Neodiprion lecontei: one gene and its partner. The protein of the gene in region 1 interacts with the protein of each later gene in a pairwise test. Links are inferred from orthologs where the notes say so. Each region holds a gene or a part of one and is shown on either strand. Other genes may lie near its edges.

Region 1 (12,068 bases):
AACACGCCGTTGAATTCTTACCTTGGATGAATATGCTTCGATAATATTGTCCGGCGTACGGAACTCGCGTATCATGACGGAAATCGTGATAAATGATTGACTGAACCATACTCCTCGAGAAAAAGTCGACAATCGAGATTATAAACAACAGGCGTAACAACTGACGATCGCGCTCGAGTGCGCAGCGGCGCAACGCGCAGGGTGAGCAGATTGCTTGCCGCGCCGCGAAGTTTGAATCGAATTCTCGCCACTGTGTGAATATTTGTTGATATGTCTTCTGAACCACTACAACGCCCATTATCAAGTTTTCAGACAACCTTTCGCATTAAAAAAAGCACGCCGTGTATAAATTGTAGCCCATTCGATTAGGGCAATTTTCAGTTACGAATAATTTGCGCGCATTTTGTATCAAAACTACAATGAAACGGGGTATGAAAAATACGGAAAAAATACTCTCGAGCGGTTCGTGAGAGAACCGAAAATTTTTGGGAAGGAACTTTTTCATATGTCGTCCAAGTTTTTAGCTACGAGAATTCCAGACATTGTTGAAATCAATTTGTTGGATGAGTTGTCGTAAAGAATTCATGGGTTGAAAAAATTCAAAGATCATCCTTTCGATATGCAGTTTTACTGTGTGAAAGGGCAATCAGGTTAAAGTGGGTCGGGGAAACCGACCGTTCGACTTGACGTGGAATACCCCATATACGTATATATTTTATATGCGTAAATAGTAACCTAGCACTTGAAATACAAACGAATCGTTGGAACAAATTCAAATTGGCAATTAAAAATGTTACGAAACATATTTCAGAAGCAAGCGTATTCTACCCTCACGGAAAAAAAACCCAAATTGGGTGTAAATTCGTACCCCTAACTTTTTTCTTATGGGACATTAGCATTGTCTATGAGTTTTTGGTACGAATTTACACCCAAGTGGGGTTTTTTCCCATGATGGTACGTTTCATTCTCAATTCGTAAGGGCCTCACGTTACTTGAATGATTACATTCAATGTATAAAATTCTATCCAAATGGTTCGGGATAAAAAACTTCATCTTGCAATTAGTTACACACATGAAGAGTGCCTCAACCGTGAGACACCTTTTATATTATGGTAAGTTCTTGTGATTCCATCAAGTGTCTCCCTTAATTCACGGCGTTCTGCCACTTCTTTCTTTTGTCAACTAATTTGTCTTAACTCGGGGGAAAAGTTTATTCATACGATTCCCTTGTCACGCTCCGACTTGATTATTGTAGATCAATGTCCACGCGAATTTCGGTTATTATTTTTTACCTATGCTGTTCGCTCAAAATGTGCCAAAAATTGTCAACATACCAGTGTGAAGAAATTTGTCATGATATTCATTCTTAAATTCAATGAATGTATCTAGATAATGAAGAAAATAACCGAGGTCTTCCTTTGTTCTATAGGATGCTTTTCTCAAATGCAGAAACGATCTCTGCTGGTATGCTTCCTTGCGATTTATTGAATAATATTAGATATATATCTCATCTGTTCATTGGCATATTATTATAAGATGTATTGAGTGAAAGAAAAAAAAAAAAAAATCTACGACAAAATGAAACCTGATAATAAATAGGAAAAACCGAAATGCCGCTGGACACGGTTTAAAAATATTAATAAATATTATACTTACGTGTCGCACAACATGAATGTTGTGAAAATTGAATTTTATACGTGTGCGTAATTTACATGTGTGTGTAATTTATAATCCATTAATGTACGAGTAAATATTAAAATGTAATTTCTATATACAATATACTACGAGAAATTGGATTAGACATCTGATTTAGAAAAACAACAAACGAAAATTTGGCCCCATGTGACTGAAATTTGAATTTTCGGTAAACAGTGTAAGGTGCATGATGCATATCAATAAACAATTTTACTAGGTGATGGAATTAATTCGTAGCGTTTTTTTATTTCTTGAAAACAAATTTATAAAATCCTACGAATTAATTCCAGCACCTAATAATAAATTTATATATACATGCGTGTGTATATGTATATGTATGCAATATATGCGTGTGTAACGAATATTCGTATTGAAGGAAATTCGTTAAAGGAAGAAATCTTTTTCTACCGCGATTGTGTTGCAATTTGAAAGTAATATTTTTGACTCGCTGTAAGAGCGAATTAAATATTATTCATAGCAATCGGAATAGTGTCATAAGTTTCGACGATTCCGTTTATTTTAATGTGCAAGTGTACCGCAACACGTAATTTTTTTCCCCGCAATGAATCCCTACAATATCAAAATTCTACACCGTTTAGAAATAATTCGCTTATATCCACCAGTATGATAATATTGCCATAGATTGTTCGTTGTGAAAAAACGTAAAAATATATGACGTCATAAGAAAGAATCAACTTGTTATTTTGTTACCGTTCATTGCTTCTCTTAAACCGATTATACTTGATGCTGGAAAAAAAAAAAAATATACGGAACTGTGTATAATAAGAAAATGCTTGATATCGACAGAAAAAAATAGATTTTCATACACACCACACAATCATGATGTATAATCTACCTACATATGTATTTCCGTCTTCACTTTTATAATAAAAAAAAAAAAAAAAAAAACTGACATTACTTTAAATATAACAAATAGAAAATTTTATACCGCGTTCACAAATTCGTGTACACAATAAACGTTCCATCGCAATGTAAACAAGAATTCTTATCGTAAAATGTACATAGGTATAACAATAATATCAATTATTATTAAAAACAATAAGTTTAATCCTTCAGCTTTTTCAACGCGTCCATCAAAAGTTGAACTTCCTGATTAACGTTCGTGACTAAATCTTCGATTTGGTGTTTGCTGTCGATGATGTTAACACTTTGCGTGTACGGATCGTATCTGACGCCAAATTTCCTCGGAATCGTTTGGGCGAATTTTCTGTAAATTGAATTGAGAAAAATCAATGAATTTTGAATTACACGGATTTCATGCATCGAACTCGGCGAACGTTTCGTACCAAAAAACAAGCTCAGCCATCTCGAATCATGAACCTATACCTACAATATAGTCAGACGAGATGACGCTATCGCGAATCACTGGCGTCTCTGAAAATTTGCGCAACTTTCTCATAATGTGTAACAATTATTTCGAAAGTATTGCGTTAAATCAGTGCTCGCAAGAAATCTTGCAACATCACATGTGACATAATGTGTATACTGGTAAAAAAAAAAAACAACAAGCGTATCGTCTTGTTTAATACCAGCCAAGCTATTTTCAATTCGATCACGATCGAACCACGTCAAGCTAAAGATAACGAAGCGCAAACAAACATGACCGAACGAGGTGAGTAAAAAATGAAAAGAAAGCAGATTGAGACATCGGTACTCGTCGTCAGGGATCGCGGATACTGGAAGAGTTACTTACATCATCTTTTCCTTCGCGTCCTCGAAATCCTCGGCGACGAAGTAGACCGGCTGATATTCGGTTATTGGGTATTTCTGAAGCGCCGTTTTTGCCGGATCGAATGGTCTCAGCTCCGGCTTGTCGCTCAGGCTGTATTCCAGCTCACCGTAGGACGACAAAAGCCCGGCACCGTAAGCCTTCAGTTCTCCGTTTTGTCTACAGAGGCCGAATTCAACGGTGAACCAAAAGCACTGGGGAAAAAAGTAAATACATATACATATAACGTATAACACGGTTGATGGAACGGATGGCTTTTGACATTCGGTTAGAACTGCGCGATGGTTTTGCGATTCGTCTTACTTCCATTCCATTTCCAATTCGGTATTTTTGCGTATAACGCTTGATTTATCATATAATAGCTAAAGACCCCCACTCACGGTGGCGAGCTTCTCGATGTACTCGTCCGGAGCTCCGAGGGAGGCGAGCCCGATGACCTGAGAGAACTGCGCGAATGCCGGGTCTGCGAAAAGTGGAACATGGCCAAGGACCTCGTGGCAAACGTCGGGTTCCGGGGTGTAGAGAGGTTTGCTGCTGTGCCTGATGTACTGGGTGCTGTGAAAGACTCGGAAGGCCAAGCCGGCGAGGAAGTCGCGCGACGAAAGAAGACCGGCGACTGGACGAAGCGTGAACCCCGTGCAATCTGGAAGCGGACGATAAAGGTCAGAGACGGTTGCAGGGGATGTTGAGGAGGGAGGTAATTGGGTGCGCATGAGCATGAGAGAAATTTTTTGGTCCGGTTACCGCTCGGTCCTTAACTATCTTCATTCTTTACCACAATCGAAAAATATAGTTCTAGGTGGAAAATGAAAATTAGTTTTATAGCTGTTGCCGGAAAGTCTAGTATCCGTTACCATTCTTTCTCATTACGATCACTCTTGCTATATTTTCTTGCAACCGTTGCGAAAATTTAATGCTCGTGCAAGAATAAATTGACGTTAAAGCCTTGTTTAACCAAAAAAGTAGACTAAACCTAACAAACTGATTTTGCCTTGCAATCACCAAAAAAGGATCGACGATAGCGCAAAGTGCTTAGGCGTACCTCGTTTTTCCTAATTCCAACAATATTCAAACAGTTTTTCTAACGATACCTGTTTTACTGAAGTTTTCTTGCTACTGTAACAAATGAAATATTTCTCAGTTCACCTTTTAGGAAATTCGAGATATCCTCAAGCTGCGGAATGTTGTCCTCCCTGTAGCCGCAGTTCTCTATAAGCAGCGGAAACACGTGATTGTGTTCCCTGCAGGCGTACTTCGGGTACATCGACGTCAGTTTCCTGAATACGACACCCCACGTGGCGGTTTCTGCGGGAGTGTAATCGACCCGTGGAATGGGCTCTCCACTGCGAATCATTCGGAAGAATTCGAGTCAGTACCTCTTCAGGGTTAAATAGACGAATCATTGAATGCTCGAGAAATGCCGGCATAGACGAGCAGTCGTTTTAAAATCAGAACTAAATTTTTTTTCGATCTCTCACTTCGTGAAATCATTTTTTTTAACGTAATATTAAACCTCGCGAATGGAAATTACCGCTTAATTTTTTTAAGCGGTTCCGTATCGAGATTTTGTATTCGCCGTTCAATTAACACGTGAGAAATCCAATTATGACGGTTGGAGGGAGACAATAATAATTGTTCTACATAATGGACGGAACTCTGTACGGTAGCGTTTGACAACTTGTACGTTCTCTTAGAATCGGCGCGTCGTAGAAAATTTTTAAAAATAGATACTATTTTATAGCTTGTTACTTTACTGGTGCCCGGTTTCCCACTGTACTCAACCATACTCCAATTTTCTCACAGACTTACTGTTTGTAGTGGTAGGCGATGTCGGCGAAGTACTTCCTCCTCGCTCTGTAAACCGTGTCTGTAAATCCGGGATGATCAGAGTCCAGTTCAGAACCGTAGGATAGAATCTGGTTCGCGAATCTGTCCAAGTCTCGTATCCTGCCGGGGAACCACGGAACGGTGCCCAGGTTGTCCTTGTGGTTCCTGAACAAAAATCGAAGGTTCTTTCGGAGCTTCAAACCACCGAACCACCTCTCGTCTCAAGTTGGCGGTAAGAGAAACGAACGATCGCCGAGGAGCGTTCATCGTCAGGTGGTATAAAAAATCAGAAATCCTGACCTGGATATTATAGAGAAGTATCCGCACTGGTCGCGCAGAGTTTCGATAACGGCAGCCAAGTCACCGCCAGGTGCGCACTCCACCATGAATTCATAGTTGTCGACGGTCCGAGCCGAGCTCCTTGACTCGATGTGGAGGAGGTTGACTTTGTGCTTCTGTAAACAGTGGGAAAGGGTACGATTTTACACTTGACGATGCAGACAAACCAGAGAACGATGCGTTTGCACCAATGGTCTACAAAACTCACTGCGAATAGTTTCAAGTAGCGTCCTAGACTCCCGACCTCGTCGTCTTCCCGGGGTGAGAATATCAGGCAAGTGCTTTTGGCCGAGTCTCTGCCTTCCTTGATGTAGTTTCCACCGTCCATGAGTTTCGGCTGTTGGATGAAAAAAAAAAAATTAAAGTCGTCAAGGGTTAACGAATGGTCGAATCCGGTGACACAAGTATTTTCAAATAACTCCAACACCGTCGCAAAGCTGATCTTACATCTGGGACCATTGGATTCGGTGTCATTTCGATGCTCGACGATAAATCGACCCGGGTTAGCGTTCGCTTCTCGATTCTCTCAACGCATTCACGCGCCTGCAGTGAGAAACAATCCATCCGGCAAGAGAGTCTCAAGTTTTATTATATACCGAAGGTGGAGTGGCCCCCACCACGTGGCACTAGGCGGAAAATTGGTTTACGAACAATCGTGGTTCAACTGCGCAAGATATGACTGGAGCAACAGGCAACGCCGATCATTATACCATGATTCAATCGAGTCGTCAATGGGTGGTCATTTCTGGAAATTACCAGCGTTCGTTTATGTCCTCAGGTGATGGCTTATGTGGTCGGTTCGCGTGTTGCTCTCCAGCTAATTTTTTCCCTCGCCTTTCGCTGCGCGCAAACTCAACCACATTCCGCGAATCCGATATCTCAATAGTTTGCGTTAATAATGAGCAAATATACTATCGAGAAACGATAAAAAAAAAACAACTGTAAGATGTCCGACGAGTCTACAATAATATTTGTCTCGTGATGTGCAATTTTTCTTTTTTTTTTTTCCTTTTCATCACCTTTAATCTTAACGCGCACCGATGAATCGTTCGAGATCTATGCTTGTCCAGATCAATAGACAACAAGATTTACGTCCAGGTGTTGCAGGTGTTACCGAACGCAAACTTGAGAGAAAAAAGTAAATGCACGACCTTGAGTCATTGCAGACGGCTGATGAAATTCGCGAATGAAATTGAGCCAGGCAGCAGATCGATGTATAAGTTTCTGTATAGCCTTCGCACTGAGAACTATCGGTGTGCAAAAAGTACGCAGACTTTTTGTAAGCGTAGGTACGTTATACGGACACTTGTGACGCGGTACCTGCCGTATATTTCCCGACGTATATTGCAAGATCTGGTGGGGAACGAACCATTCTTGGTTCACCGAAGAACCACGTCTAAAGTTACCGGAAATCGACAGACCGGAAGGTAAGTACCGACACCTGGTAATTTACAGGTTGAACTTCGAGGTTGAGATGGTTTCGAAAGTGTGCAGATTGTTCAGAGAAATGTGACGAGTGTGAACGGACTTTTTCAAACAATTATCCTGAGCTTTCGAAAGCGGAATTCTGACGTAACTCTTCGTTGGAATCCGGACGAAATGTAGGAAAAAGAAAAAGGAAGAAAATAAATGGATTTCGAAAGCGAATTTCTGCGAAGTTACAATATCACATAATATCGCTCAAGGATAGTGACGGTTAATGACACGCGTGATGTGTAACGGGGAAACGTTCAATGGATCATTTCCGTGAGTCGTGAAGGTCACCGGGATATCAGTGCGGTTCGAACTTTCCTCTGTATGGGGGATTCCACTTGAACCTGCTGATATATTGCAAGACTCGTCATCAGCATCGTGTTAACGACTTTCTTACTCGTCGTGTTAACGACTTTCTTACTCATCGTCTTCCGATCAAAGCGCTAAACGAAATAGTTGACATTCTGACTGATGAGAGAAATTTCGGGACTGAATACCTAGCCTGTGATTTATTGAACATTTACTGCAGCGTAAATTTCCATTTCGCCGTCTTTTTACACGGAGTTTAAACAGCGACGCGGTAACAATAGAGTTACCGATCAAATCACAGTTTGTAAGGCACCTATAACTCTCGTTTCTTTTATCTTCTCCCATCGTCGATGACTTTGAAATCTAGTAATGACAGGTTAAAAATAATAAAAATAAATAAAAAATCCGGAAGATAATTGTTTTTGCAAGCATCGTATCACTGGTCGAAATTTCATCATATTGTATAACAACAATTTTCAATGCCAATGAGCAAGAATTATCTGGCAATATCGAGCTGCACTTAAAAATTGATTACAGCCACGTACATCGACATGTATTATAATATATACGTACATGCGTACACATGTTGCACGGGCGGAATTAGAGGCGTGCCTTGTGACCTCAGTGGCTTGCGAGTTTAATTGAAATTGATAAAATTTTATCAATTTCAATTAATTAACCGACTTGTGATAAATATTGGCACTGACCCGTGGCTCATCACGTCATTTATAGAGGGCGAAAATATTTCACAACTATGTTTACATAAACGTATCACGGTATTAACGGTATACGATATTTCTTCAAAAGTCAATTTATAGACTCTGCCTTTCACAAGCGATATTATAACTACGCACGAGGCAATTAAAACGTAAATCAAACTTACGTTTGAAAACAATATGACGGCTCGTTAGACGCCATGCGGTTACTGTTTACTAATAATTGTGTGTTTGTCTTATGGATTAGGAAGACATTGTAACATGGCTATTTACCACGTTGTCCATTTCCTCGTCGCTGCAGCAGTGCGTCATTTTTGAATTCTGAACGAGAGTAGAATCCGATCAATTAATCCTTGAGATCTGATGATTGCGATCAAATTTCGCTGATCTCTGTTAGCCTTTTACAAGGAGCCTCGTTAGGTTGCCGAAAACTTCACGCGTTTCGAACGCACGTTGAAAACAGAAAGAAAAATGAAGATGAGTTTTCATTTATTACCTAGTTTTCTTTTTTTTTTTTTTTTATTCTAAGGCTAATGCTTCCTAATTTGTTGCACATATTTTATTAAAGAAAGCACCAAGTGGTAAGCTTACAATCGCTTTGAAATTCTCAGGAAATACGGTTATTTTTCACGGTGCCGTTTGGAGTTGTCACAATTTCTAAAATCAAAATGTCAAAATTTGACACTGAAAAGATAATATACAAAGTTAATTTTCATGTCTTTGTTTAAAAGTTAACTCAAGACACCGTCGACCCCGTTTCATTTATCCTCTTGCTCTTTTTTTTTTTATACGAACAAAGAACGCAGAGTTCAGAGTGTTCTATTTAAGTATTGATTTTCAAATATAAAACGAGAAAAATACGCGTCTCATTCAAATATTTTGAACTTTTATTTATCTTCGGACAGTAGATATAAAATGATAAATGAGATCTGAATGTCTTAATATACGTTTTAAATTTCATCACATTGTCAACATATAATCAAAATTTGTATAGGATGTAGTCATTAGAATTACTAACGAGGCACGGCTCCCGTTAAAACATCCTGAGAAATCGATTTTGAAAACTCACCACCCGATGTTATATCCTTTTTCACATAAAATCAACGAAAACTGCATTGAAACTTGAGCTTGTAGATCCGATCGTATTACATTCTACAGAATATTAATCATCTTCATTACTTTGCAATGAATCGCGATTTCACTTCATTCACCCTCAATGGTGGTCGTTCACTCGTTCCGCGGAGATTTAACAAACCTTTCGTGATTTTAAAACCGTGCAGTTCGCTAATTCATACGTGTTCGAAAAAAAGATCTTAGCTCGGCGAGCGTCGGAAACTTACTGGTATCGATATCCAGTTGAACTTCATTAGATATGCAAACCAGAGACAGGGTGGCTCGTTTTACATATGCCGACGGATTTCCCTACGGTTGAAAACTGCACTGGCACTCCTCGAAAACCTGACTTACAGAGCGTTCCAACCAAAGTGTTGCCCAGCAGTGGAAAAATTTAGTCTGCGGTCTCTGGTTTGGTCTGCTGATGCGGGTAAAACGATGTCGCACGTTAAACTGGGCGAGAGAATAGCAGTCAAAAAATATTCCCACCAGTGTTTTTATGGTAATCGAGCGGCGTGATAAGACGGGAAAATAGAAACGATGTTGAAACGAGGCTGCAAACTCGACTCAAACTAGTCACGAGAAAAAACTATCTTTTCAAGTATTTACGGAGCCGTAATTGAATACGCTGGGGAAAAATCAACATGGCCGCCATTGCCGCACCTGCGATTTAGTTTTGCACGTACGATTGTATTCCGTAGTCACAGGTTATCGGGTGCTTTTTTATGCCAAAACAAAGGATGGCAAGATCGATTCGATCACGATTTCAACTTTTGACGCGAGCTCAACAGCTGGGAAATTATGTTGAGAAAGTCACGATAGCGATGCATTCAGGGTACAAGGATTGCCATTGTGGTCGAGGATAGTGTCGCTTCAAACTGAATTTACCTTCGTCTCGACAGAGTTCTTTTGCTTCGTTTTTCCTTTTATAGCTGGGCAACTTTGTCGTTTTGGTCTTTTACTCTCCAATATAACCTGCTCTTAACTTCTGGTTTGCCTTGTATCTTGCTGCATTATATGCGTATGCTGTTATGTGTATAATATGTCGATACCTACGCAGTGTTCGCAGACTGCAGTGGCGTATTTTTTCCGCACATTTTCAAGCTAGCAGAGAACGTTGTTCGGAAAAATATTTTCGCACCCTTCATTCTTGCCTCGCGTCTGATATATAATATGGCACAAACGCAATTTTACTAAAAAAGTGGGTGAAATTCTACGTGAAAATCACGAGAACGACGGATTTTTATGCGTCACTGTGACATGTTAACGGTAATTAAACAGTCCGAGTTGTAGCTGTATGTATAACGTATGCGTAAGTACGTAAACTCATTATTAGGCAATCAATACGAGGTTGAAATTGTTATATCCCGTCATCGTTATGCCACAGTGAAATACCTACCTGGAGATATTTTACCGTAAATTTTATTTCTCACTGCAGTTCGATTCTGATTTCCAAAAAATGCAAATTGAACAAAAGTGATATCAGGTCCTGTGCAGATTTTATCAGCATTTCGCGAAGAATACTTCATTTTCTCAATTTCGAATGCAAAAAGTATTTTCAAATCCATATTTCTGTACACTGTTCCGAAATTGATCATAAACACGATATAGAAATGAATAATAGAAATTTTGCACCCACCTTGTCAGGAGGGGAACCCTTGCCTACAGAATCTCGATATTGCTGCATGTCCGATGAATTTCTGGCGATTTGCGTACCGATCATATTAACGACAAGTGAAGGAAGGAAGTTTAAGGATTACCTTTTGCAGATATCGAACCACTGCTAGTGCAAACGGCGAAAAGTGCCTTCAATCTAGGCGAGATGGGAAATCTGTGGCGACAATCGATAACGCCACCGCGTCAATGAATTATTATCATCAATCTGCCAAGTGCCGAAGGCAAACTGACTCTGGCTAGGATGTTACGTCGTCTATACTTGATCAGGCGTTATAGTTCCACCACCACGTTCGACGAATGTCAACACACAAGAATGTATCGGCAAACGAGAGTTGGAAGGGAAGATTTGAAAAATGACAGCATGACGTCGCCTGGATGCAAAAATTACAATTTTTTATCATTATCGCGACGCGTGTGAAGCCGAGGTAGAGTACGGACGATAGGCAGGCTTGTTAAAACAGCGTACGAAGACGGAAACCCTGCAACGTTACATGGGTGTAGCAATTTCTTACTGCGCAATCGTTTCAGCCCATTTTTATCACCGTTTTCAGAGGTTAGCGAGTTATCGGTTCTACACACTGTAACAAGAAAAAACCAACTAGAAAATAAGTAAACAAAAGAACAAAAAAATTATAGCAATATTGAATTTCGTCATGTCTGTATTCTATGTATCGCATATCGCGGCAAGCATGTTGACAGATAACGATAATCAGAGTCTTAGTTACAAACATAGAAAAATGGGAGAACCGAGCCTGAAAACTACGTGAGGAAATCAACTATGTAAATGACATTTTTACTGCTTGAACATTTGTCGCGACGATAATTCTACCGGATCTGCTACTATAGGATGACATTGTTTTTATTGTTATCAAAACGTGTAAATTTATCAAGTTCGCTGATTGATTCATGGCATCTGATGCATCAACGAATGGACGAGAATTTTAAAATTGTATAACAGGGTGTACTTCTATTGCAAATAAATTCTGTTTCACTCGGAATCTATTTTATAAATTGAATAAATGAATTTTTTTTATACCAGCTTACTATGTCTGTTCGGAATAGTTAGCTGGCATTATCCTGTTCAACTCCATCAGCTTAATGAAAATTGATAAGAAAGAAGAAGCTAGAGATATCGCGGATAAGTGATTCTGTAAATACCAAGTCATAAA
Region 2 (10,085 bases), on another chromosome or scaffold:
ATATATTTCATGGGCATTTGAATTTGCGTAGAACAAATCCTTATCCTAAACGTATTGTAAAATTTCAGTAGTTTCAAAGATGAATCACAGTTGCCTGCAATTTTGATGATTGCTCGCTAACTTAAAAGCTGGCTTTCGAACTAGCAATTATCAGACTGCAAAGGACAAAGACCTGACGAGATATACAGCGTATAGTCTAAATAGGGCATTCGGTGGTAAAAATTATCCGTTGCGCCGTGGACGAAAAATTTTCAAATGTATTGCAAGATATAAATCCTCTGATCAAATAGATTTCGTCAGATGTCTGAGGACAGCGAACTCTTTAATTTACACGTTTTTTCATTTCATGTAATTAATTATTTAAACATGATTTTTCATTTCCATCCTACTTCTTTATTCTCCGTGTTAAATTTTTTTTTGAAAAAGTTACGTATTTGGCAATAAGGATTGATTGTTTGTTCAGTATTTTTCGAATTTCGAAACGCAAGCATGTGCCGAACGCGTTCGAACGTTCCGGCAGAATTATTTGAATGTGACTATCCTGAACATAGCATCGCAATCATGTAGCAGCAGCAACGTTCACGCGTCAACTGTCAACGGGTATACCTATAAGAAGCGCAAGACAACGGTGCTGGTAACCTATAAAATGCAAAAGAGAAAATTTTTATAATCGCGTTTACATTTATTTCCTATTGAATGAAGGTAGATTAGTGACATATTTCCTCACAAGAATCATTGAAAGATTAACCTCGTAATCTGTTTTCAGATGGGACGTTTAGCAGAGGTAATATGAATAGCATTTTCTAAAACAGTTTACCGATTGCTGGATTTACATAGCGACCTTCAACGTCACTGAAACTGTAAAGTGATTCTATTCCTTGAACATATTTCTGTATATAACGCTTCTTAGCGCTGCTGGGCATGAAAAGCGTTCAGTAAGCATTTATTTAAATTGGTCGATTTTCGTGGAAGTTTTCTCTCCGAAAGTTAATAAAACCTGCAGGCTAGAATGCAGGGCGAACTTGTTCTAACATTTCTCGCGTAACTGCGTGATTCGCTTACGATCTTACGAATTGCATGCAAATCAAGTCAGTGCCCTGGGAATAGGCACGATAAAAATAAATTCACGATTAATTCGAGTACGATGTGATAAAGCGTTGCATGGAATAAACTCGTATTGCACTTGTCGAGCAGATAGTTACCAGAAGTGAGTACACACACATGTGGTCAAAAGAAGACTGCCCGCGTAGACAGTTCATAGATTGTTAGATTTCGTGTGAAGAGTGATACTCTTTTGTAGTTACTCTTACATACGAGTAGAACCAGTGTTATTTTCCATAACCATTGTGTTGGGGAACAATATCGTTAATAGTTTAATATTTTCTACTTGCAGCTTGCCGGAGATGGGGAGTCTGGAGAAAAATCACGAACTTTTGTATTCCAGGACGAGGGTCATACTTTGGGAAATGCTCTTCGATCAATTATTGCTCAATAGTAAAAATTTTTCCGTCGCTAGTTTTATTCTTTGTTTCACTTTTTTCAGTATTGATATTATTTCAATTTCTTGTCCTAATTTACCCTTTATACATCTCTGTATTCATGAATGTTTATTATGAATATCGAGTCCAAAACGATTTAATTACAACGTATTCTAATCCATTTGTAGTCCAGATGTTCAATTCTGTGGTTATACGGTGCCCCATCCTGCAGAGACTAAGATGCACTTCAGGATACAGGCAAAGTCTGGTCGTGCCGTTGATATATTGAGGAAGGGTTTAGAAGATCTGGAGAAAGCCTGCGAACATACTGCCAAAGCTTTTGAAACCGCATGGCAGGCCTCCCGTTAAAATTCACATGAGTGACTTGTTTGGAGACAATTGTGAGATACAAGGGATGTTTGTATTATGAATCCTCTCTTATGACTTGGAGAAGTGAACCTGATTTGTCGTCAGTTTCAAATCAATTTTGTGTCTTTACTTAGAATAGATTGGCACAACAACAGAAAAGAAACTCAGATTAACTACAGAACGTGAATCTTGTATTTTATATCTTTGAATAAACAATAGAATTAAAAATATTCGGCGCTATTTAAATAACGTACCCCGTACATCTGTCTCAGCCTGCCGTAACGCAAGTTTGTGATTTCACTAGAAACGAAAATCGGGATTTCCCACATAGACTGATCTATACGCATTGTGATAATAGAACCCTCTGAAAGATTTCTTTTAGCAGTTTTATTTGATATATAGTCACCTAAAATCAGTTTATAACAGCGCAAACTTCTGTAGTAACTTGAACACTAATCAAAAATTATCGGCGGAGCGCAATTGTTATTTTTAAAATTCGTAGACAAATAATGCAACAAGATCAGGAAATTGAAACACTAGATTTTTGTCATATACTAACAGTGTAAAAGTCACTCATTGTAAAATGATAATGCATGATTTCATCAAGTCAAAATATACTCACTCTCTTGAAAAATATGAAACCTCTGCACTAATCACAGTTACTTCCTACTATAAAAATTCTGTCAAAAGATAAAAAATAATAGCCACTGGTACGACTGTTTTGAATAAACACAGGGAAAACTAAAGAAATGGGTATGCACCGAGTAATACTTTATTCACGGTTATACAGATTTTGTAGCATTTTATGTAATAAACGAAGCTTATTTATTGTGGAGCTTTTCCGCGCCCAAATCCTCCCCGGAATTCGAGATCACCAGTGCCAGCGCCAACATCAGCCTTTTTATCACCAGGTGCTGGCGGTCCGCCAGGACCTCGGCGATAACCGGCACGGTCTTCGGCTGGACGCGAACCTTCGCTCCTAGGGCCAGCAGCGGGCCTAGGCCTCGCGGTTTCAGGTCTGACTTGCCTCTTCAATGTCGCAGGAACAATTTCTGGAGGGAGATGGAGATAGGCTCGCAGGTATTCGATGCCCTCGTTCGTCAGGTACCAGTAGAAGTGTCTCCAAGCAAACTGCTCGTTGACAAAACCTCGTGACTTCAAGGACTGAAATCATAATCATACGATACATAATGGTATAATGACATAAGCATTGGTATTCTAAAAAAGTTATTTTGTATGAAGTCATAATAATAAAGAGCATTTTTTCACACGTCTCTGCGTCTTCCCATGTCGCTACATGCCACACTTTAGATATGCTAAATGTAGCAATTTCCTAATTTTTTTTTACCAGTTAAAAAAATATGAGTAATTTTCAGCAAATTAGCAAGAGACTTGAAAACACAAATGCATGCCAGTGTACGTGGTATGTTATAGAGCAAGTTAATGATGCACAGCTTTACAATGATATTTCTGTAAACAATGGAACTATCAAAATCAAATGTTTTGTTTTTCAGAGCAGGTACACTCCGAGAGTACGTATGCTACCTGGTTTCGGGAATTCTCACTCTTACAGGTATTCCAACCAAAAAATATGACTCAACTGATATACCATTTAATGATAATACATTTTTGATAAATCACGCTACTTCTCATGTCGTCAAATAGTCAACTTATTTTATCTTGACGTTTGTATTCGCACTACACAGTGAATCTGCCAATTGGTTGTGTGGATCAACACTGTCCGCCAGCAGAATAATTGACAAGGGGCCAGCGAAATTTCGTGACGTTTACTTCCATTACCTGCATAGCTTTGATAACCTGCAAATTGGGTATGGTCTCAAGTTCGGGATGCTTGGGTGCGTGATAATCCTTTTTAGCCACCATTACTCCCTCCTTGAAGAGGTACTCGTAAATGGCGACACGATTTTTCTTGGGCATCAACATTCTGTAAATCATCGAAAAGAGTATCTATTTCAATATCATAATTTATTGCAGCTCTAGGTTAGGTTGTATTGGGTTAGGTTAAGCCAAGTTGCAACATGTCACGATCAATTGGGTTTAAAACAAGAATTCGCTTGATGATTATATGCGTCAAGTTTGAAATTTTTTCTGTCAAAATAACAAGATAACACATTTTTCTCGAGCCATATGAGATTCAATTGGACGAATTAAATTTGAATATCCACGCGACAATTGCGTGGCGAATACAAGATACATCCGACATGGACATTCTTCAACACAGCTCACAACACTAGATTCACGTAAATTATATCGCATCTGACTGCGTGAAATTACGACTACGAGGTTTTTATGGCTCGTGGGTAAACTAATAATATATTAAGACTATGATTGCACGTTAAATATTGCGGATGCACGAGATATCTGTGGATTTGTTAGAAAATCAGACGTACTTCGGTACTTCGTGTCGGACTTGTCACCGGAAAAAGAAGGCCACCATTCGCGCGTTCTTTACCGTGAATCATCGCTCGCTATATCGAGAGTTCGGATTTCTGCCACATGCAGCGCTGTGATATCGAAAGTGTTACGTCCGCGGCTCTAGTCCAAAGAGAAACCTTCTCTCTGTCTAGTCTCCATGGTCCGCGGGTTCGCCACTGGCTCGCCGTAGTAACGTCATTAGATCGTGTAGAATAATATCTAGCTGCGCATAATTCAAATATGCCACACAATGATGGCGTTGATGATGGGTAATGAAAAGGCTATATTCGTGATGCAATGCATTTACCCTGCCTATGATAACTGTTATTACTACTTTGTTCATCATTCAACTGTCGCAGAACGGCAGCGTTATTAGCCGACCCGTTAACTGAAGGATATATCTTCAGTCAACGGCTGACCATCGAAGGGCCTGGCCGGTTGAGTCTGGAATCGGCAGGAGAGATAAATTGTGTATTTCTTGTATGAAATGTGAAAGCTAAAGTCATTATACATCATATCATATCATCATACATCATACATCATACATCGTACATCATACATCATCATACACAGTATCAAAGTTCGAAACCATAGTTTGGATGTCGGACGTTCAGAAAGTGACGTCACCAATTCAAAATCAGCTAGCCGAATTCCTCAGTCGGGAAACAACCGCGCAGTAGAGCGGACGCATGAGAGTCGCGCTCCGCAAATTTCGAGTACCGGGTTCTCAACCTCACGGATCCCGCGCTTCGGGTCCGCTACGTATTTCGAGTACCGGGTTCTCAACCTCCCGGATCCCGCGCTTCGGGTCCGCTACGCGGTGAAACTCGACTTCCAGGATAAGCGCTCCGTGGTTCCTGATTCACGTTTACAATAAATTATTTCAATTCGTTTTTCGCGCAAGCCCATATTCAGTAGCTGTCAGTCCGCTAATAAAATTTCTCGACTTCCAGGATAAGCGCTCCGTGGTTCCTGGTTCACGTTTACAATAAATTATTTCAATTCGTTTTTCGCGCAACCCCAAATTCGGTAGCTGTCAGTCCGCTAATAAAATTTCTCGACTTCCAGGATAAGCGCTCCGTGGTTCCTGGTTCACGTTTACAATAAATTATTTCAATTCGTTTTTCGCGCAACCCCAAATTCGGTAGCTGTCAGTCCGCTAATAAAATTTCTCGACTTCCAGGATAAGCGCTCCGTGGTTCCTGGTTCACGTTTACAATAAATTATTTCAATTCGTTTTTCGCGCAACCCCAAATTCGGTAGCTGTCAGTCCGCTAATAAAATTTCTCGACTTCCAGGATAAGCGCTCCGTGGTTCCTGGTTCACGTTTACAATAAATTATTTCAATTCGTTTTTCGCGCAACCCCAAATTCGGTAGCTGTCAGTCCGCTAATAAAATTTCTCGACTTCCAGGATAAGCGCTCCGTGGTTCCTGGTTCACGTTTACAATAAATTATTTCAATTCGTTTTTCGCGCAAACCCAAATTCGGTAGCTGTCAGTCCGCTAATAAAATTTCTCAACTTCCAGGATAAGCGCTCCGTGGTTCCTGGTTCACGTTTACAATAAATTATTTCAATTCGTTTTTCGCGCAACCCCAAATTTGGTAGCTGTCAGTCCGCTAATAAAATTTCTCGACTTCCAGGATAAGCGCTCCGTGGTTCCTGGTTCACGTTTACAATAAATTATTTCAATTCGTTTTTCGCGCAACCCCAAATTCGGTAGCTCTCAGTCCGCTAATAAAATTTCTCGACTTCCAGGATAAGCGCTCCGTGGTTCCTGGTTCACGTTTACAATAAATTATTTCAATTCGTTTTTCGCGCAACCCCAAATTCGGTAGCTGTCAGTCCGCTAATAAAATTTCTCGACTTCCAGGATAAGCGCTCCGTGGTTCCTGGTTCACGTTTACAATAAATTATTTCAATTCGTTTTTCGCGCAACCCCAAATTCGGTAGCTGTCAGTCCGCTAATAAAATTTCTCGACTTCCAGGATAAGCGCTCCGTGGTTCCTGGTTCACGTTTACAATAAATTATTTCAATTCGTTTTTCGCGCAACCCCAAATTCGGTAGCTCTCAGTCCGCTAATAAAATTTCTCGACTTCCAGGATAAGCGCTCCGTGGTTCCTGGTTCACGTCTACAATAAATTATTTCAATTCGTTTTTCGCGCAAACCCAAATTCGGTAGCTGTCAGTCCGCTAATAAAATTTCTCGACTTCCAGGATAAGCGCTCCGTGGTTCCTGGTTCACGTTTACAATAAATTATTTCAATTCGTTTTTCGCGCAACCCCAAATTCGGTAGCTGTCAGTCCGGTAATAAAATTTCTCGACTTCCAGGATAAGCGCTCCGTGGTTCCTGGTTCACGTTTACAATAAATTATTTCAATTCGTTTTTCGCGCAACCCCAAATTCGGTAGCTGTCAGTCCGGTAATAAAATTTCTCGACTTCCAGGATAAGCGCTCCGTGGTTCCTGGTTCACATTTACAATAAATTATTTCAATTCGTTTTTCGCGCAACCCCAAATTCGGTAGCTGTCAGTCCGCTAATAAAATTTCTCGACTTCCAGGATAAGCGCTCCGTGGTTCCTGGTTCACGTTTACAATAAATTATTTCAATTCGTTTTTCGCGCAACCCCAAATTCGGTAGCTGTCGGTCCGCTAATAAAATTTCTCGACTTCCAGGATAAGCGCTCCGTGGTTCCTGGTTCACGTTTACAATAAATTATTTCAATTCGTTTTTCGCGCAACCCCAAATTCGGTAGCTGTCAGTCCTATTCAAGGTATAACCTGAGGTGGTTATCGGTGGTTGTTCGAGGTGGTTGAAGGTGGTCTGAGGTGGATGAGGAAAAGGACGAGGAGGACGAGGATTTGTGCTGGGTGAGTAAAACACTTTTATAATATTTCATGGCAATTGTAATTATATTTCATCTGAAATATTACAAACTTGTCACATTTACAATAAATTATTTCAATTCATCTTTCGTGCAAGCACATATTCAGTAGCTATGAATAATCTTATACAATTTATTATATTATTAATTAATTAATTAATATTCCTATAATATTTAATGGCAATTGTAATTATATTTCATCTGAAATATTACAAACTTGTCACGTTTACAATAAATTACTTCAATTCATCTTTCGTGCAAGCACATATTCAGTAGCTATGAATAATCTTATACAATTTATTATATTATTAATTAATTAATTAATATTCCTATAATATTTAATGGCAATTGTAATTATATTTCATCTGAAATATTACAAACTTGTCACGTTTACAATAAATTATTTCAATTCATTTTTCGTGCAAGCACATATTCAGTGGCTATGAATAATCTTGTACAATCTATTATATTATTAATTAATTCATTAATTACATTAATCCTTACACAATATTTTTGATGTGTTCCTATACTAAAAATATTCATTACTATTCCAGGTATTACCCGAGGTGGTCGGAGGTGGACGAGGAGGAGGACGAGCTGGACGAGGAGGAGGACCAGGTGGCCGAGGAGGAGGAGGACCAGGTGGACGAGGAGGAGGCGGGGTGGGTCGTGGGAGAGGACCTCTCCTCTCCTCAGAGGAGGAGAGGGGGAGGGGCAGGGAAGGGGGAGAGGTGGGCGGGGAGGGGGAAGGGAAGGGAAGGGAAGGGAAGGGACGGGACGGGAAGAGGAGGGGTGGGCCGGGGGGAGGGGAAGGGGAGGGGGGGGTGGAGGGCGGGAGGGAGGGAGGGAGGGAGGGCGGGAGGGAGGGAGGGCGGGCGGGAGGGAGGGAGGGTGGGGGGAGAGGAGGACGGATGTCGATGCGAGCCCATTAGAGTTAATAGAGCAGTACACCCCCCCCCCCCCCCCCCCCCCCCCGCGCCCTCCCGCCCTCCCTCCCGCCCTCCCGCCCTCCCGCCCTCCCTCCCGCCCGCCCACCCTCCCCCCCACCCCGGCCCTCCCCTCCCCCCGGCCCTCCCCTCCCCTCCCCTCCCCTCCCCTCCCCTTCCCTTCCCTTCCCTTCCCTTCCCTTCCCTTCCCTTCCCCCTCCCCGCCCACCTCTTCCCCTTCCCTGCCCCTCCACCGCCCCTCCTCTGAGGAGAGGAGAGGTCCTCTCCCACGACCCACCCCGCCTCCTCCTCGTCCACCTGGTCCTCCTCCTCGTCCAGCTCGTCCTCCTCCACGTCCACCTCCGACCACCTCGGGTAATACCTGGAATAGTAATGAATATTTTTAGTATAGGAACACATCAAAAATATTGTGTAAGGATTAATGTAATTAATGAATTATTTAATAATATAATAAATTGTACAAGATTATTCATAGCCACTGAATATGTGCTTGCACGAAAAATGAATTGAAATAATTTATTGTAAACGTGACAAGTTTGTAATATTTCAGATGAAATATAATTACAATTGCCATTAAATATTATAGGAATATTAATTAATTAATTAATAATATAATACATTGTATAAGATTATTCATAGCTACTGAATATGTGCTTGCACGAAAGATGAATTGAAGTAATTTATTGTAAACGTGACAAGTTTGTAATATTTCAGATAAAATATAATTACAATTGCCATTAAATATTATAGGAATATTAATTAATTAATTAATAATATAATAAATTGTATAAGATTATTCATAGCTACTGAATATGTGCTTGCACGAAAGATGAATTGAAATAATTTATTGTAAATGTGACAAGTTTGTAATATTTCAGATGAAATATAATTACAATTGCCATGAAATATTATAAAAGTGTTTTACTCACCCAGCACAAATCCTCGTCCTCCTCGTCCTTTTCCTCATCCACCTCAGACCACCTTCAACCACCTCGAACAACCACCGATAACCACCTCAGGTTATACCTTGAATAGGACTGACAGCTACCGAATTTGGGGTTGCGCGAAAAACGAATTGAAATAATTTATTGTAAACGTGAACCAGGAACCACGGAGCGCTTATCCTGGAAGTCGAGAAATTTTATTAGCGGACCGACAGCTACCGAATTTGGGGTTGCGCGAAAAACGAATTGAAATAATTTATTGTAAACATGAACCAGGAACCACGGAGCGCTTATCCTGGAATTCGAGAAATTTTATTAGCGGACTGACAGCTACCGAATTTGGGTTTGCGCGAAAAACGAATTGAAATAATTTATTGTAAACGTGAACCAGGAACCACGGAGCGCTTATCCTGGAAGTCGAGAAATTTTATTACCGGACTGACAGCTACCGAATTTGGGGTTGCGCGAAAAACGAATTGAAATAATTTATTGTAAACGTGAACCAGGAACCACGGAGCGCTCATCCTGGAAGTCGAGAAATTTTATTAGCGGACTGACAGCTACTGAATATAGGCTTGCGCGAAAAACGAATTGAAATAATTTATTGTAAACGTGAACCAGGAACCACGGAGCGCTTATCCTGGAAGTCGAGAAATTTTATTAGCGGACTGACAGCTACTGAATATGGGCTTGCGCGAAAAACGAATTGAAATAATTTATTGTAAACGTGAACCAGGAACCACGGAGCGCTTATCCTGGAAGTCGAGAAATTTTATTAGCGGACTGACAGCTACTGAATATGGGCTTGCGCGAAAAACGAATTGAAATAATTTATTGTAAACGTGAACCAGGAACCACGGAGCGCTTATCCTGGAAGTCGAGAAATTTTATTAGCGGACTGACAGCTACCGAATTTGGGTTTGCGCGAAAAACGAATTGAAATAATTTATTGTAAACGTGAACCAGGAACCACGGAGCGCTTATCCTGGAAGTCGAGAAATTTTATCAGCGGACTGACAGCTAC

Evidence for each region. The genes of interacting proteins can lie anywhere in the genome.
Region 2: the proteins of protein henna (region 1) and 40S ribosomal protein S10 interact in a two-hybrid assay, tested with the Caenorhabditis elegans proteins (2 studies listed by BioGRID). The link is inferred for Neodiprion lecontei from reciprocal best matches to the Caenorhabditis elegans genes pah-1 and rps-10.

What each region holds. Positions count from the first base shown.
Region 1 is NC_060261.1:7,914,102-7,926,169, reverse strand, and holds protein henna, read right to left. Parts: upstream 6,220-12,068; 5' UTR 6,176-6,219; coding exon 6,059-6,175; intron 5,949-6,058; coding exon 5,820-5,948; intron 5,728-5,819; coding exon 5,573-5,727; intron 5,438-5,572; coding exon 5,255-5,437; intron 4,789-5,254; coding exon 4,592-4,788; intron 4,089-4,591; coding exon 3,826-4,088; intron 3,640-3,825; coding exon 3,410-3,639; intron 2,924-3,409; coding exon 2,761-2,923; 3' UTR 2,496-2,760; downstream 1-2,495. UniProt on the Caenorhabditis elegans protein: Catalyzes the hydroxylation of L-phenylalanine to L-tyrosine. Catalyzes the hydroxylation of tryptophan to 5-hydroxy-L-tryptophan. Plays a role in the biosynthesis of a melanin-like cuticle pigment.
Region 2 is NC_060265.1:4,256,471-4,266,555, forward strand, and holds 40S ribosomal protein S10, read right to left. Parts: upstream 4,415-10,085; 5' UTR 4,259-4,414; intron 3,793-4,258; 5' UTR 3,792-3,792; coding exon 3,648-3,791; intron 3,012-3,647; coding exon 2,673-3,011; 3' UTR 2,602-2,672; downstream 1-2,601. Other genes in the region: probable DNA-directed RNA polymerases I and III subunit RPAC2, read left to right, coding at 697-702, 767-784, 1,394-1,494, 1,667-1,847.